Macaca fascicularis: one gene and its partners. The protein of the gene in region 1 interacts with the protein of each later gene in a pairwise test. Links are inferred from orthologs where the notes say so. Each region holds a gene or a part of one and is shown on either strand. Other genes may lie near its edges.

Evidence for each region.
Region 2: the proteins of UBE2I (region 1) and SIAH1 interact in a two-hybrid assay, tested with the Homo sapiens proteins (2 studies listed by BioGRID). The link is inferred for Macaca fascicularis from reciprocal best matches to the Homo sapiens genes UBE2I and SIAH1.
Region 3: the proteins of UBE2I (region 1) and ETV6 interact in a two-hybrid assay, tested with the Homo sapiens proteins (2 studies listed by BioGRID and IntAct, with this or other methods). The link is inferred for Macaca fascicularis from reciprocal best matches to the Homo sapiens genes UBE2I and ETV6.

The regions. Positions count from the first base shown.
Region 1 is NC_088394.1:2,058,811-2,062,463, reverse strand, and holds part of UBE2I (SUMO-conjugating enzyme UBC9), read right to left. Parts: intron 1,804-3,653; 5' UTR 1,793-1,803; coding exon 1,727-1,792; intron 1,535-1,726; coding exon 1,451-1,534; intron 200-1,450; coding exon 127-199; intron 1-126. UniProt on the Homo sapiens protein: Accepts the ubiquitin-like proteins SUMO1, SUMO2, SUMO3, SUMO4 and SUMO1P1/SUMO5 from the UBLE1A-UBLE1B E1 complex and catalyzes their covalent attachment to other proteins with the help of an E3 ligase such as RANBP2, CBX4 and ZNF451.
Region 2 is NC_088394.1:44,266,484-44,269,521, forward strand, and holds the end of SIAH1 (E3 ubiquitin-protein ligase SIAH1), read right to left. Parts: intron 2,575-3,038; coding exon 1,724-2,574; coding exon of another isoform or gene 1,621-1,723; 3' UTR 650-1,620; downstream 1-649. Other genes in the region: LONP2 (lon protease homolog 2, peroxisomal), read left to right, coding at 1,621-1,740. UniProt on the Homo sapiens protein: E3 ubiquitin-protein ligase that mediates ubiquitination and subsequent proteasomal degradation of target proteins.
Region 3 is NC_088385.1:14,669,093-14,671,702, forward strand, and holds the end of ETV6 (transcription factor ETV6), read left to right. Parts: intron 1-1,271; coding exon 1,272-1,377; 3' UTR 1,378-1,961; downstream 1,962-2,610. UniProt on the Homo sapiens protein: Transcriptional repressor; binds to the DNA sequence 5'-CCGGAAGT-3'. Plays a role in hematopoiesis and malignant transformation.

The DNA of each region.
Region 1 (3,653 bases):
CCTCCCAGCTCCACGTGGATTGCCTGGCCCGGGCGCCACGGCCACAGCCTGGGGCCTCTTTGGAGAGGACTCCGATCCCCACAGGAACAGGCTGACTTCCAGGACACTCAACAGTGAGCTACTTACATTTTGGTGGTGAAGACGGATAATCATCTTTGAAAAGCATCCGTAGTTTAAACAAGCCTCCTTCCCACGGAGTCTGTGGGGAAATAAACTGTGGTGAGATGGGCGGCTTGCCCGCCTCAGGCCAGCCCAGGAGGAAGGGGCTCGCTTCTAGGACACAACTCCCACGACTGCCAGGACACCGGGGCCAGAGGCCCGACAGTGGCGGCTCCCAAACCAGCCTAAAGCCTGAACTGGCCCCACCAAGGGGACTGTCAGGACCTCTGCTGTGCCCAGAGAGTAAGTCGGAAAGGTCCTCCTAGAAAGGAGACGAGACGGGGTTCGGGGGCTGGGCCGGGGCGGCGGGTGCCACACACTGGGGCGGCAGCACCAAAAGCACAGCCTTCGCCCCAAGGGTTCTGCAAGCCCCGCCCCAGATCCTGCCTGGATGAGGCGCCTTTGCCACCCCACAATCCGACACCACTCCCGTCTTCCTCGGGGCCGCACACCTGCATCGCGGTGACGTGAAGAGCAGGGGACGTTCTCAGCAGAGCCTCAGACAAGCGACAAACCCAAGTGACACCATGTCTCAGGCAAAGCTGAGACCTGCTGGGACTACTCAGCTCAGGGGGACCGAAGCTGCTTTGAGTTTCAGAGTGAAACCCAGAGGGTGGCATGGGCCGGAGGGAATAAGGCCTCGGGCAGGACCAGCACCTCAGGGCTCTCTCCTTCCTTCAGGGTTCACCAGCATGAACCTTATGTGCACACCAGCCTGGAGTCCCCGGCCAAGTGCTTCACGGGAGCCGGGCAAAGACGACAGGCACACAGGCCGCCCTGCTCCCCACAGACACACAGGGGGCCCCAAGCAGGCATCCTAGGCTGCTGTCGCCAGTCCCTGTGCCCCAGGAGGTTCTCCAGGAGGCGGCTTTACGCCGGGGTGGCTCTCCAGCAAACCCAGCTCCCGTGACCTGAGCCACACCTGGAAGGACACAGCAGAATCCCGGGTTCCAGCCTGCAAAGGCTGCCCGCCCTCAGGCCTGCTCCCAACACACACCAGAGCCCCTCCCCTCTGCCACAGCTCAGCCCTGTGCCCAGCCTGCTTCCTTCTCAACCAGAAATGCCCTCGGTGGGGACACAGCTGTCACCCCAACCTTGCCAGCACCACCTTCTGAGCTCAAGTCCGCACGGGGCGGGGGCCAGGCCACAGCTGGGGATCTGACCTGTTGTCCGCAGCCCGTGACAAGGGCGGCCGTCACAGACGGCAGGGGCTGAGCAGTTTCCCTGTGGCGTTGCCACACGCATCTGTTGAGCCCCGACAGGCAGGAGGCTAGCAGCGCGCGCCTCTTACCCCTTTCTTTCCTGGAATGGCGCACTCCCAGTTCATGAGGTTCATCGTGCCATCGGGATTTTTTGTTGGGACAGCCACGAAACCCTGAGAGAAAACAACCACAAAAGCACATCAGTGCGGTGGCATCTCGTTTGACCAAAACCACTGAGAACCGGCCCGCGAGCCCCACCAGCGCGACCCAGGCACGCGGCCAGCTCCCTCCCAGTGGGGGGGGGCACGGTTTCAGCCCAGGGGGGCCGTCCGCGGCACTGCACACGGAAACGAAGCCCTCCTTACAAACGGGTGGTCTTTCCTCCATGCTTTCCTCTCCTGGGCGAGTCTGCTGAGGGCGATCCCCGACATGTTCAGAGTCCCTGGAACACAGGAGGCAGAGCACGGGGTCAGGACAGGCTAGCGGGCTCCTACCGCCCCGCCACGTGCACACGGCCCGCAGTGGGCAGTCTTGCTCCTAACAGGCGCCAGCCCAGCCCAGCAGAGACTCTCCTCCTGGAAGCCGTCGTCCGACCCCGGGGTCTACCAGGGGAGGCCTCATGAGTGGATCCCAGATCACCGGGGGTGGGGGGGCAGGTAGGACCCCTTCCCCATGGGCCCCCCGAGCCCTGGTCTGCGACACGTGCCGTGGCCTCTGCTCCACGGTGGAGACGGATGTTCAGAGGCTGGGCCACTGTGGCTGGGCGGTAGCTGCCACCCTGTGGTGGCTGGCGTGGCAGGGTCCTCACTGAACCGTCAGGTGGGGACTAGGCAGGGCTGGGTCCCCGCCTTACTATCAGGCGCTCAGAACTGAGACTCAAGCCGGGCCAGGGGGACACCTAATATTGTTGTTTTTTTTTTTTTTTGAGATGGAGTCTCACTCTGTCCCTCAGGCTGGAGTGCAGTGGCACTATCTCAGCTCATTGCAACCTCCGTTTCTTGAGTTCAAGCAATTCTCCTGCCTCAGCCTCCCGGGTAGCTGGGACTACAGGCCCCCGCCACCATGCCCGGCTAATTTTTGTATTTTTAGTAGAGATGGGGTTTCACCGTGTTGAAGACAGAGTGGAACAAGTACCACAGGGCAGAGGCTCAGCCTCGCTGAAAGAGGAGCCCCCCACAGGGCCACCGTTCCCGGACCCTGCAGACGCTAGCATGTCCCTGTGGCTTCAGGGGACAGACGGGTCCTGTGGGGCAGGGCAGGAGCATGGGGTACGGGACCAGGTCCCTGGTCAGAGGCAGCGGCACACACGCCAGATTCCAGCTCCACACTTCTGCACGGGACCTCAGGGGCTTGGCACCTTTGCCTTCTGGTTCCCAGCGGGAGCCTGTCGGCCCGCACTGTCCCCGGGGACACCAGGCAGACAGGGCCAGCAGCCTCGACACCAGCCTCACCTGTCACCCTACTGGTGGTCACCTTTACCATGAAAAACAGCACTCAGGGCACAAAACCTGCCAGAGAATTCAAACCCAAGTGTGTGCTGGTTTTCAAAGTCCACGGGAACACTGAAGCTGCCTCCAAGTCTGGCATCTCAGCGCCAAGCAAGGGCCACCTCAACAAAGCTGGGGGCTGCGCCAGGCCTTCCAAACTGTGGGGGGGCCGTCCCTACAAGGGCCCTGGTGACCTGGATGGCGCCCGCACCTGTGCAGGCCCACGAACCTCACACACCTCACAGCTGCAGGGAGGGGCCAGGTCAGCAGCTCCGCCTGGGCCAGAGCCGCCGCAGCCTCACCTGGCACTTGTTAGGGAGGCAAGGCCCAGTCCCCAGCAGACTCATTGAGGAAGGAGCTCCGAGAGGCCCACATTCAGGTTTTGGGCGGCGCGATGGCTTCCCGAGGCAGCAAATCAGAAATCAGGGGTGGGGCTGGGATCAAGGAAGCCCAGGCGGGTCCAGTGTCGCCAGGGAACCAGGGTGCTGGAAGCCAGGCGGGGCTGCTAGAGCCGCCTGCCCTGCAGGTGGATTTGGCTCCTTTTTAACCAAACACGGATCCTCAGGGCAGCCTGAGAAAAATCAGGCAAAGGAACCCGGGTCCTCCAGTCAGTAGGTGCTGGCATCACAGCGAGAGGGTGACAGGGGCCATCCAGGTACTGGCCTCCAGCTACACGATTAAGTCCAAGACAGGTAGCCCCAGACTGGGCCCCACCGGGATGTCCCTCCCCATACCCTCCTCACAGGGATGCGGAGGAGCCCGCAGGCCGCCTGCCCTCTGGACCACTTGCCCATCCCCATGCCCT
Region 2 (3,038 bases), about 42 Mb from region 1:
CTTTCTAGGCTTACAGTACCAATACAAACCACACAAAATTATCTTTCACTATTCAGAAGGCAATTTCAGAATCTTGCCATGTGCCTCAAAGTAATTAGCAAGTTAACTACATGGTACTAAAGGCATAATGGTAGCTAACATTCACTGGATGCTGATATGAACAAAGCACTGTTTGAGGTAACATACCTGTACCCCATTAAAACTTTTTAAGTAGCTACCATAATTTAACCCCACTTTACACATTAGGAAACTGGGGCCCAAGGTCACACAGCTGGTTAGTGGGGTAGAGCCGAGACTGGCACTTAGGTGCCTGAAGTCTGGCTGCAGAACCAAGGCTCTTAACCACTAGGCTATGAAATAGTAAATTTATTATTTCATTGTGCTTTTTTAAAGAGGTGAAAAGTGGTCAGCATTTTAGTCATTCTCCTGACAGTTGTAAGAATCAAAATGTGGGCAAGAGGGGCAGAGCATGGGAAAGACTGTAATCCAGAAGCCATATACCCAGTTATTTGCTGTGATTTAGAGTATAACTCTACCACACTTAAAAATGACAACACACAGCTTTCTGCTATATAATTAAAGTACGGAATGAAACAGGAAAATAACTTTGGATTTTATCAAACTTAGAGCTAAAGCAGACACAGTAAGATTTTTTTAATTTGCCAGAAATTCTTTTAATGAGAATTATAAAAGACCAAAAACATTTTTTTGCAAACTGCCTTTTTAAACAAATGATTTGCTTTTAATTACAAATACTGTGCATGACGATGCCTTCTTTTGCAAAACCAATAAATACAAGAACAAATTTTAAACATGTGATTTATCCAAGATATTTGAAAAAGGAAACAAAAGCCTGATTTGCAGTACTTATAAAAATCAATTTATTCTCTAACCTTTCAAAGATTAAGCTCAAAGGTGTGACTCATCCGTAGAAGAGAGAAAGAGAGAGACCATCTTACAGATGCTTTAAATAGCTTTTGATCATTTTTCCGATGTCACCTTTACTTTCTGGAACTCATAGCTTCACAAAGTAGCTGATTTTAAAATATTTCTAATGAACTGATTAATGGGGGAAAAGAAAATATTGAACACATGTTACAAACTTTTACCATAACAAGTATGCATATCAAAAGACACTAACTTTAAAATGGTACAAAAAAAGTGAAGAAAAACCTGAATTACAGAAAGGAAAGTCAAATTTATTTAATGAAAAACTAAAATTAATAAAAATTAGCAAATACACACACAAAAAAGCACACAGCAGCACTATGTATTGACTCACAAAGGGGAAAAGCAGTGGCCCATGACCACTCAAGATGGCTTGTCAGTTAAAGGAGAAAAACCCAAACACGCACACACCCACGCACGCACACACTCCCACGCAAAAACAAAACAAAATAACTATTTTTCAACAATACAATCAATCTACAACAAACACAAAACTCAGAATTATTTTACAATGCTTCCTTTCTTAATACAAAAGATGCCCATCTTGGGTGTATATACATATATTTTTTCAGTGGTTTACTGTTGACTTATTTTTAAATATATTAGTGTTACTACATGCAACTGTTTCCTGTATTTAACAGCCTTTCCTTTCATTTACCTTCATGTGTCTAGCTTCCACCTACCAAAAGAATTTTAGGTTGGCAGGCAGATGGGTGCCTTATTTTCTGTGAAACTGAAGTTTTAAACACTGGCCAGAAAATGTTTGATTGCCATTTCAACACATGGAAATAGTTACATTGATGCCTAAATTGCCATTTTCTGCAAAAAGCTGTGCAATGCTGGTGTCAAAGACTAGGCAGTCGCTATTCATAATGGCTGTTGCAATTCCTTCATGAATAGATCGAGGAGTCGCTTCCCAAGTCAATCGTCGCCTGTGACCATTTAGCTCAAGTCGGTAAGCAAAATTTTCAGCTTGCTTGCGTGTTCCTATCAGCTGTACAATTGCAAAGAACTGCTGGTGACCATCGTATTTTTCCTGTTTCTCCAAGACTAACATGAAGTGAAAGCCAAAACAGGACTGCATCATCACCCAGTCAACAGCACCAGGAAGATTAATGTCTGTAGCAAGGAAAACTATATCCTCTCCCTGTAGGGTTGTAATGGACTTATGCTGATGCATCAGATGGGGCATTACAGCATCCAAAGAGCCTTGCCATTTACAGGAAGCACCAGGGCACGGACAGGAATAAGGCCTAAACTCACAGAGCTCTTCGTGGTCTGCTTTTTCTGTGTGTGGCAGAGTTATTTCACATCCAGAAGAGGCATATTTACAGGGGAAAAGTACTGAATTAGCCACTTTCTCCATAGCCAAGTTGCGAATGGATCCCAAAGGGCCCCGGCAAGTTGGACAACATGTGAGCTTTGGGCGACAGTTGCTACAAACAAGATGGCCACTCTGACATTGAAGAATGGGTGGTAACACATAGTCAAAGCAGACTGGACACTCAAAAAGACTCGCCAAGTCATTGTTGGATGCAGTTGTGCCAGTCAGGGCAGGTACCCTCTGGGATGGTGGACACTTCGAGGTACCGGTAGGTAATGCTGTAGCAGTCTGACGGCTCATTTCTGAAATAAATACATAAGGAGGCAGGAGAAAAATAATTATAACCATGACTTATTTTACAAATAATGTTTACATGCCAGAAGTACTTAAAGTTTCATGCAAAATTTACTGAGCAAAAGAGAAAGAAAAATAAATAGAATTTAAAAAGTAACATACTAAAAAATAAAATTACACTGAATGTGCACTTTATTAGGATCTGTACACTGGATAAGCTCTCTTTTCAAAATATTCCGGAAAACATTTGGAACTCCCTTAATCGTCTTTGGATAGACTACATGGAATAATAAATGCTAAAATAGAAGATGGACCATAAACAACTAGAGAAACTATACAAGGAACTGAAGTTTAATCGAATCCGTTTTGCTAGGACTCTCTCCCTGAGACTCCCTTACTCTTATTTCTTTCTAATTTGGAGTCAGCTATTGATAGGTATAGGGAGTTACAGGTGAAGTCCTGGATAAAATCG
Region 3 (2,610 bases), on another chromosome or scaffold:
ACTAGACTGCAGTGGGTTCATACTGGTGAACAGTGGAAAATAAGAGCTTCCTAGGTAAAGATGGTAGAAGAACCCGATGAGCAGAGCAAAAGGATGTACCCTTGACTTGTTGAGTGGTCCTTGTAGGCTTTTGCACATGGATGAATGAGAGAAAATGTAAGTTCTAAGATAGTGGTACAGGGCAGAGTATATGGGGAGAGAAAAGTATGCAGGCACAGAGGGGGGACTGGAAAGGGTGCCCCTACAGTGCAGGCGGAATATCTGCAACCAGGCTGCCTTCCTGAGCCATTGTAAATCATGGTCGAAACATGTCATTGATGTCACTTCCAGTTTAACCCATTGAACAGGAAGATGAGGCTTGCTGTACACCCCAGTTGCAAAGGTAGACAGACCAACGAAGGTTCATTGCTGTCATTTTGGGTGAATCCGTGATAACGTTGTAAAAGATTCTCTCTTTTTTTGCCTTTCTAATTTTCCAGAAGCTCCACTAAGTTGTCCTATTGTCAGCATTTTTCACTTAACATTTAACTATATCCTTTGAAATGTAAGTTTTGAATACCATTTCCTGGGCTCACAGTCTGGAATGGAAGTGGATATACAGCTCTCGTGAGTCTGTAAAATCTAATCCTGTAAAAGAAAGAAACATATATACATGGTCTGGACAAAGGCTTTCCTGTATGGTCATGCAGTAATACACCACACGGTCCCAAAGGGTGCTCACTACCTCACAGACATCCTAGACTTTTTTTTTTTTTAAATAATTAGGATTTCACTTTGTCACCCAAGTTAGAGTACAGTGGCATGATCATAGCTCACTGCAGCCTCAACCTCCTGGGCTTAAGGGATTCTCCCACCTCAGCCTCCCAAGTAACTAGGACTACAGGTGCACACCACCATACCCAGGTTGTTGTGTTTCGTTTTGGTTTTTTGTTTTTTTTTTTTTTTGGTAGAGGTGGGGTCTCGCTATGTTGCCCAAGCTGGTCTCAAACTCCCTAGGTTCAAGTTGTCTTCCCACCTTGGCCTCCCAGTGCACTAGGATTATAGGCCTGAGCTACCATGCCTGGCCCTAGTCTTTTTAAATAATCATTTTGCCACTTTTTAGACAGAGAAAGGGGTACCTTTTCCTAATTTGCACTAAGTTAGCGTTAATCTCGGGGTTCAGTAGCTCTCCAGCTGTATAAGATGATGGAGACTTTATACACAGGCTAGAGTTCAGAGTGAAGACGGCTTTAGGAAAATGGAATCTCTTAACTCCTCCACTTCTTCCAAAGGTTTATGAAAACCCCAGATGAAATCATGAGTGGCCGAACAGACCGTCTGGAGCACCTGGAGTCCCAGGAGCTGGATGAACAAATATACCAAGAAGATGAATGCTGAAGGAACCAACAGTCCACCTCAGCGGGCCAGCAGCCCAGGGAGCCCCTGCACACCAGGATTGCTGGAGGTGTGACGGAGCAGGCGGGCTGAGGAGAGTGGAAAAGGAAGCGACCCAGAAATGGCAGGGACACTTCTCTTGCAGACGAAGAGGGACCCTGGAGCACCTTGGACAAACCACCCAAAGGCGGGGCTGGAATTCTGGCAGAGGGCATGAGCCTGGGACTCGCATGTCACGTTTCCTTCTCATTTGGAATCTCCATCTGTAATTCCTCACCCTCACCCTTCCACCGTTGTTAGTTTCATGGTGTTTTTGTTTTTATTTTAAGAACATGCAGTTTGACTCTTCATCATTCATCTAGGGGAAGACATCCGATGTTGTTTTCCTATGGAAATATATATCTATTATATATATATTTTTTGCAAACCTCACAAAGTGCGGCAAGCCCAGCTGGTCAGGAAAGAGAATACTTGCAGAGCGGTTCAGGTTCCTCTTTTTCCTGCCACATGGATCAGGTTTGTTCCTGTTACTGTTGGGTCTTGGCTGAAAAAAAAAAAAAAAAAAAATGCTTTTAAAAAAGATAAAATGAAAAGGAGAGCTCTCTTTTTCTCTCTCTTGCTCTGTTCTTCCCTTGGTCCCCTCTGTCCTCCCTCCCTGCCTGCTGTTGCGATTCAGATGCCTTCTGACAGAGTTCAGCCTCTTGGAGAGTCTTGGGGATTGTTGGCACCTAAACAGGATCAGTGACCTGGGTGCTTTGTGGCCAGCAGTACAGAATCAAACCCACATCCCAGCATTTGGCCACCCATCTGAGGGAGGCCAAAATCATCACAGATGCTGCTGTACTGCAGACAGATACATGCTAGTCCAGAGAGCCACCCCTGAGATGACTGTGAGAACCACGCATCTAAGGCGTAAGATAAGGACGGAAGGCCGTCCAAGTTACTTGGAAGGCCTCGGCAGTTGGGATTAGCTTGGGAGCGCTGCAAAGTGGAAAATATGAAAAGACCACACAGGCCCAGCAGTCTAGAAACTGGGCAAAAATCTTCTGCAGTGGAGATTTATTTTTCCAAAGCAGGTAGCAGAGGCTGGTGAGGAAAGATCCTCTCTGCTCCATTCCAAAGGCCATCTTGCCGTCAGTTTCATGCCTTCGCCTGATTTTTTTTTTTTTTTTCAGTTCCTAGCCTTTTTTAAAGTTTCCTGGTCTCCACTGGACACAGAGCATTGGAGACGGAGGA